2 linked regions of the Cricetulus griseus genome follow. The protein of the gene in region 1 interacts with the protein of each later gene in a pairwise test. Links are inferred from orthologs where the notes say so. Each region holds a gene or a part of one and is shown on either strand. Other genes may lie near its edges. The genes, in order: Fhl2 and Csn2.

The links.
Region 2: the proteins of Fhl2 (region 1) and Csn2 interact in binary tests that used the Homo sapiens proteins (3 or more experiments, as listed by UniProt). The two-hybrid records come from large-scale screens. The link is inferred for Cricetulus griseus from reciprocal best matches to the Homo sapiens genes FHL2 and CSN2.

What each region holds. Positions count from the first base shown.
Region 1 is NW_023276807.1:5,374,367-5,378,190, reverse strand, and holds the end of Fhl2 (four and a half LIM domains protein 2), read right to left. Parts: intron 808-3,824; coding exon 656-807; 3' UTR 231-655; downstream 1-230. UniProt on the Homo sapiens protein: May function as a molecular transmitter linking various signaling pathways to transcriptional regulation. Negatively regulates the transcriptional repressor E4F1 and may function in cell growth.
Region 2 is NW_023276807.1:152,937,206-152,941,129, forward strand, and holds the start of Csn2 (beta-casein), read right to left. Parts: upstream 2,805-3,924; coding exon 2,733-2,804; intron 2,041-2,732; coding exon 2,017-2,040; intron 862-2,016; coding exon 838-861; intron 754-837; coding exon 712-753; intron 1-711. UniProt on the Homo sapiens protein: Important role in determination of the surface properties of the casein micelles.

The sequences.
Region 1 (3,824 bases):
ATTTGCATTCCAAGAGGAGAGTTTGTGAGGGAGAAAAGTTAGTGATGGGAAGTATGGTACTACCAGAAGGCTTTCTTAAAACAAAGTGTGGTGGAATTTTGATGAATACTGCCCCAGCCCAACCTGCACTCCCCCCCATCGGGACCTACTGCAGGCAGTGGTCACTGGCCCTCTCAGTAAAGTGCTATTTAAAGGGAGACCCCAGCATTTAATCATTATTTCACACACCGTGCTTGGCCAAAGGTTTTATTCTGAATAACTTTATTCTAAGTCACATAAATGTTACTCTGGGTTTTTACACAAAAAGGAAGTTACAAAGCTGCAAACCCCATCCCTCCCTTGAAAACACATTCATAACAAATGTTAATTGCACTTAAAATTAAATAGGCAGTGAAAGGGATGCATTATAGAGACACAGGGGAGGATGCCTTTGTTTGATCTGCCTTGCATTTCTACAAAATCCCAAGTCATCTCCCCATCCAAGGTTAACAGGACTGAAGCAGTGCAGAGAACTAAAAGATTTCAATTAACGTGAAGCTGGGACAGCAAGAGGAAACCTCGTGGTGGCTGGTGGGAACCAGAACACAGCACTGCCTGGTTAAGAAAGAAAATATCCAAATCTCTACGTCACAAAGTTGTGGCTTCCGAGCTGCCTTCAGATGTCCTTCCCACAGTCGGGGCAGAGGATGTCATCTCTCTCTGTGAGGAAGCCTCGCCCCACCAGGGACAGGGAGCACTTCTTACAGTTAAAGCAGTCGTTGTGCCACTGACGTTCCTCGAAAGAGATGTACTTCGTGCCCCCGAGACCTGTGAACAAAAGGAAAACACAGGATGAGGTGTCTCCAGGTGACCAACCTCAGCAGAGCCCGAAAAGACATGACAGTTTGATCCGCTTCAACTTGGTGCCCACTGTGAAGCACATGTGGCCATCAGACGAGAGACGGAGAGCAGGGAATTCACATGCAATCATCAACTCTGCACAGCTCAGGGTCATCCGAAGAACGGGCACAGAAACTGGTTCCAGCAAGGGAGCGATAACACCCTATAAAAAAGTGCCTGTTTGAGCTAGGTGTGTCGCTCAGTGGAAGAGCGCTTGCACACGGAGCGTGGGGTCCTGGCTTCCAACCCCCACGGGAAGAAAAGTGTCTGCGGTTTCCTGTTTCCTTGTGAAATGAAACCTGCTCCCCACGAGGAAAGGGAGCTGGGTGCCATAGCAAAGGGAGTAGATGGAGGGAGGGAGACAAAGGGAGGTGTGATCACCCTGGGAATGTCGAGGAAAGGACCAGCCTGCAGAGGGGTGATCCTGGGACCAGCCCTAGAAGCAGGAGCTGAGGTGAGAGATGGGGCTTGGTGAGTCGGGGTACAGTACAATGAAAGAAGAATGGGTCACAGGTTGGAGCTGACCCTGAAAGTGTCAAGGACTGAACAAAACCGCAGTTTTATCTTTTTCACAGTGCTGAAGGCAGGCCCCCAGCCAGGCATGCTATGGAAGCATTTGAGCACTGAGCTACACAGCCCTGTTCCAGTATTGGTAAACAAGCAAACTAACTAGTTTCACCTCTGTCCTTCTGATGACTCATGTCTGACTAGTCCCCATGAGATGTTTAAGGTACACAGTATACTGATTGCAACAACAAGTGGTCTATTTGGCCACTGGCCACCCTGAAACAAAGAAGGATGCAATACACAGAATTATGCCACACTGGCCATGTGTTCTGGTGAAATTTAGATGATGAATTTCAGTCCTCAAGATTCTGGTGTAAGCCAGGTGGTGGTGGCACACGCCTTTAAATACTAGCACTCGGGAGGCAGAGACAGGTGGATCTTTGTGAGATTGAGGCCAGCCTGGTCTACAGAGCGAGTTCTAGGACCGTCTCCAAAGCCACAGGGAAACCCTGTCCCAAAAAAACAAAAAAACAAAAAGAGTCGGGTGTGATAAACCATACTATAACAACTATAACCATAGCCACACTCACACCAATTCCCAGACTTATATGAACTCTGACTCACCAGTTAATTCCTATTATACCCTTTCCACACTGGGAAACTATCAAGTTTTTCCTCTTTGGCAAGCCATGGCAAGGCTAGGTCTTAGCTCTGGTCTCTAATGAAGTAAGTGCCTGTGTCCTTCCAAAGACCACTTCTGCTCCTGACAGAGGGATGCACAAGCAAAGCTCATCAGCCCTCTTTCCCTAAACAACTTGTAGCATTAAAACAAAACAAACAAAACAAAACCAAGCAAATTCCTGGAGCTGAGGCTCTAACTCAGTGGCACAGTGCTTGTTTACTTAGCATGTATGATGCCCTGGGTTCGATCTACAGAACCACAAAGGGGAACAAAACAAGCAAAACTGAGTATCTAGTTTCCATATAAATTGCCTTTTGTATTCCTAAAACCAGAGCCTGGTCCCTGGCCCTGGGAAGAACCCAATCTGGGCTTTGGTCTTGACACTATAATTTTTCTGCCTGCCTTAGTCACTTAGGAAGTTCTGGAAAGTTCCCAGGGCTGCAGAAGGGAGATGATGGTTTCTCTTCTTAGCATATGGATCTGAGTGAGCTGCAAAGGCAAGATGGTTTTTATTTTTATTTTTGAGGTTTTTATTTTAATTTTCATATGCATGTCTGCCCGAACATATATTTGTGTACCATGTTTGTGCAAATGGCCAGAAGAGGGTGTCAGACACCCCCCCCCCCCGAACTGGAATTGCAGACTGTTGTGCACCACCATGTGGGTGCTGGGACTTGAACACAAGTCCTCTGGAAGAGCATCCAGTGCTCTTAACCACTCATTTACGCTCCAGCCTCCTTCCAAGAAGCTTTTAGGACCCCTGCCATGCCATACTCCTTTACACCCTTGAGTTCTACAGCAGAGAGCTGCAGCAAAGATGAGCACTGGTGGGGTGGGCAGGGGGCATCTGTGTGAGGAAAGATGTGAGAACACCATGGAGGACAGGAGTCCCAGGTTGAGCACATCCCCTGAGGCTCTATTTTAGCCCTGAAGTGCCAGCATATGGAACAAGATGTAGAAATGGGAACTGAGCAGAACACAGGGAAAACTCCTAAAGGCGGTGTGTGTTTGTGTGTCTGTGTGTGTCTGTGTGTGCATATTATGAATATATATTATGTAATCAATCCTGATTTTTTCATGGTGGTTATACCCCATAATGCCCTTAACAAGACTGAATTAACAAATACTAAACTACCGCTTCTAAGAAAGACACAGTAGGTTTCTAAACTCCTCTGTGAAATTTCAATGGACCGACTCAAAGATGTTCCTCTCTGTGTGCCTCCCTTTCGAATAGAAGACACTTTGACATAATTTATAATCATTGACATTAGCACTGTGGTCCACTTAAAATGCTTGAATGGACCTTTAAGGTATTTCCTCTGATAAGGCACGTCATCTTTTTACATTTGGGGGCACTACATGGAAATGCTCCACCCCCCAGTCACAAAAATGTAGGAAAAAAAAAAAACAACACATGTCATTGTTATTGGATGTATCTTCAAAACTACACATGTTTAAGAAGGGAGCTGGTGCTGGGCATTGGTGGCGCACGCCTTTTATCCCAGCACTCAGGAGGCAGAGGCAGGCGGATCTCTGTGAGTTCGAGACCAGCCTGGTCTACAAGAGCAAGTGCCAGGATAGCCTCCAAAGCTACACAGAGAAACCCTGTCTTGAAAAAGCTGGAACACAAAGGCAGGGCTTCATTTGTCTAGTGTCAACCAGAAACACAGATGACTGAGAACTCAAAACTACTACTGCTCTGTACACAGCTGTGGGTCACTAAAAGTACCAGGGGTATTGTTTTAAGATTGCAAAT
Region 2 (3,924 bases), about 150 Mb from region 1:
GATGTATCAATTTTTAAAATTTTAATTTGACTTGAAAAATGTGAGCAACAAGCAATTTACTGAGGAAAACAAACTATCAAAGTTCAACTATTATGTAAGTGTGATTTAATAGTGGAACTTGACACTATTCAGAAAAGCATTGATTTGAAGGCAACCTCTTCTACTATACAGCTTAAGCAGTGGTCCAATCAGTTGTTCCATATCTCACTCCACTTATCTTTGAACTAGAAATGCCCTTAAGACTAGGTAAACATAAAGTACAAATGTTTTCATAAACCAAATGTGAATTAAAACCATTAACTCTACTAAAGGCCAATTAATTGCATTCATGGAAAAAAATTAAGATTGTGTTCAGCTTACAGGTGAAGAAAATGAACTATAAAGAGACTAATAAGCAATATTATTCTTCTGGCAGGTGTTCAGTATAGGATTTCTGCCACATTCTCAATGTGTCCTTTCATCATCATATTCATTTAGAAAATAAAAAGGACATTGTTTCTACTGGGGAAATGCTTATGTTAATTATTAAGAACAGATAATACCACTAGTAACTGCAATCATGATTTAGAAAATACATTGACACTTGAGTATGCTTTCATAGCACTGGTGGTATATGACCACTGTTTGCTATGAACATACATGCTATAATTATTTTCTGGCATTCATTACACATCACAAAACCAAGACATAAACTCTTCAAGAGCAATTTACCCTTGCTTGCAGCTGTTCCATTTGTCCAACCATCTGAAGTTTCTGTTAGAAACAAAGTGTACATTAAAAATCTCAAAACTTTTATCTTCATGAATAAATCATGGATATTAAATATAATGGGTTTACCTTACTGATGCTTTCAGAAGATTCCTTCAGAAAAATAAAAAAAATAATTAATTTTTACTGAGTAAATAGTATTTTCAATGGGTATTAAAATTAAGGTATCTGGTAAGCTATTTTAATAGGTTACTAATAGGAAAATTGATGAAATCTTATATTTAAACTATCTAAAACATTTTGTATAAGCCTATTGTATACAAGAAAGATGAGTGTCATCAAGAGAGAAAAGTGAATGAGTGAGCACAGTATATAAAGAGACATCTAAGCAATGTTAATTCCCTTTACAACCATAGTTCTTTCTCTGGCTACAAATGATCTTTAAATCCCATTTAATTCTTAAAACCAAACACAGAAACAGAGTTGAAAATACAGTCTAATGACAGCTAAGAGTACTTATTATAGTACTTGCTAATATACTAGCCTCCAAATAAACTATGAGAAACAAACACTTCCTCTGAGCATTTGTAGAATTCTGAAAAGAAATGTATATAATTGTATTCACTAATAAACAAATGATAACACATACAAATAAATAGTTCAAGGTAAAGACTGAGTGTATCTATTTGATACACTCAGGTACATTTAGGACTATATTGCATCTTACTTTTTTATTTACCTAATGACAACTTTAATAACCAAATGCATCCTTTTGCAAACAGGCCTACCCAGTATAGCACATGTATGTATTTCTATTGGTATCTGTCTTTAGTTTGGACTGTAGCTACTAGCCAATGAGCAATCCATAAAAAGCACATAGTAATAATAAAAATGCATGTCAAATTAGGGAGAGCTCTTGGCAGAGAATACGATTGTGAGCTTCTCAAATAAAAAGGTGTAGAAGAGGCAGTTAAAAATTTCAAATAAGAAACTAACTTGGAAAATTCTAATTATGCAGCTATCTAGATATTTTTCTTCCCAATACAATGCACAGCATATTTACCAAACAGGAATATGTTATAGTGTGGCTAACACAATGTAACTCAACAGAAAAGAAGCACTTTGGTGTTCTAAGTCTACAAGTTGCCTCTGAGACAGAATTGCTTTCCCTCACTGCTGGAAATGCTCTCAGTATGCAAAAACATTAGTAATACAAATGTGTTAATTTATAGATCCAATTAGGACTTCCAGATCATTAAAAATATAGTTATTTTAGGATTAAAATTTTTTCTCAATAAAACCTCTTACCTCAGAGGATATGCTGAGTGATTCCTTTTGTAAAAAGAAATAAAAGTACTTATTAGTGACAAAATCTACCTTGCTACTAAATATCCTTCCTATTTCATTTTTATGTCATCTACCTCTTTCAGAAACTTAAAAACCAAAAAAGTTATAAGCCTTTTAGAATCTTGAAAACACATTTACTCTCTCTAATAATTTAATAATTTTTATTGGCACATTCCTACATTGGATGAACTTGGGGAATTTTTGATGAGTGAGGAAAAAAGAAGTTACTTTAATTTCTACTAGGCATTTTTTTATTATGCCTACAAGTCTACCACAATTCTTGAATATGTTCCTTCCTCTGAATTTCCCTTTGGGCAGACACAGTAAGACTTGACCTGATTATCAAAGAAATGCATGCACTTTATCACCAGAATGAGATACTGAAGCCACGTGTGTGAGTCTACTTCTGTGGAGTTATATTTACTTGATGTATTTCTATTTTCTTGTTTTACTTCTTGTCTGTTTTACTTTTCATTTGGAACTGGTGGTCCAATAACACAATAAGCATTTGTTCCAGTTTTGAGAGCCTATAGGAACTTTGGGACAACAAAACTTTGTGACTCTCAAAGAAGCATTGATTAAATAAACAGATCTGAAGCTCTCCATTAATTACACACTGAGCCATCACTACTGTTACTGTCTACAAGTGAGAGGACCGTTCACTACATCTTAATTACATAGGAAGCTTCTTTACCCACCTCACTAGCAAGAGCAAGTGCCACAAGGCAGGAAAGTATGAAGACCTTCATGGCTGTCAGGTCCTGTGAATGAAAAGATGAACGAGTTGTAAGGGATGAGTCAATTAAAATCTACTCTGGCTCCTAAATATCCTATGTCTAACATCAAATTCAGACTTCAGCAGCTACCAGCAGTATTTTCTGCTCACAGCTCTCTTCCTTTCTTCTTTGTTAGCACTCTATTGTTAATGGGAGTATGGGCGCCTTACAAAACTATGAAGAAGTCATGACTATGGAACCCTTTTAATGAAAAAACTATTCAGCATTTCCAGATTATGAAGACATCAGCACTAGGGAGCCTCACTTCTAGAGTGAAATAATAGACTGTGCATAAACTGTTGTGTTGCTGGTGAGTGATCTCAGCATGAAAAATAAAAATTTAGATATGTTTACAAAGCATTCTTTCCAATACTTGACGGTGGAAAATTATTCCATTAGTAAAAAGCTGGTTTGGGTTTTTTGGATGGATGCTGCATAATTCATTAAGAACCTTTCCTTGTCTAAAGACTCCTCCATGGGTTTCCATATAATTTAATTGTCTTAGTTTAAAAGAAATTTGTACCCTTGTAGATTATGCATGTAGGGAGAATCCCACTGCAATTCTTATATTTTATCCTTACCATTTTATGTATCCATCTTTAAACTGGAACTTTGTTTTTACCTGGCACACTATAAGCCACTTTTCTTTCAACTCATCTTATTTCCATAATCATGGTTTCAAAGTAATATCTAATCTTCCTACAATTATTTTACAAACAGAAGACTTTGTCTCTATTTTTACAATTGTTAATATCTCACATGTAAAACATTATGAGCTAGATCAAGAATTCCAAGACTCTGGACAAGTTTTACGGTTGTAATCTTCTTGTGTACAAAACATGTAATTTGTTGCTTCTAATTGTTGCCCAAGAAATATCAATCTTTCCATGATATAATTTGAGTACATTTTATTACTAAAGAACAGCAAATCAAATAAGATAGCTTATTAAAGAAGTCAATCCTTAGTCTCTTCTTTATACCATTCACTGGCCTTGTATTTATTGTTACATGTTCTTGTTTTCATAAAGCCAATAGCCATTGTAATTTTTACCAAATCTTTCTAGACATTTCTATATTTTAAGCCTTGCTTTTA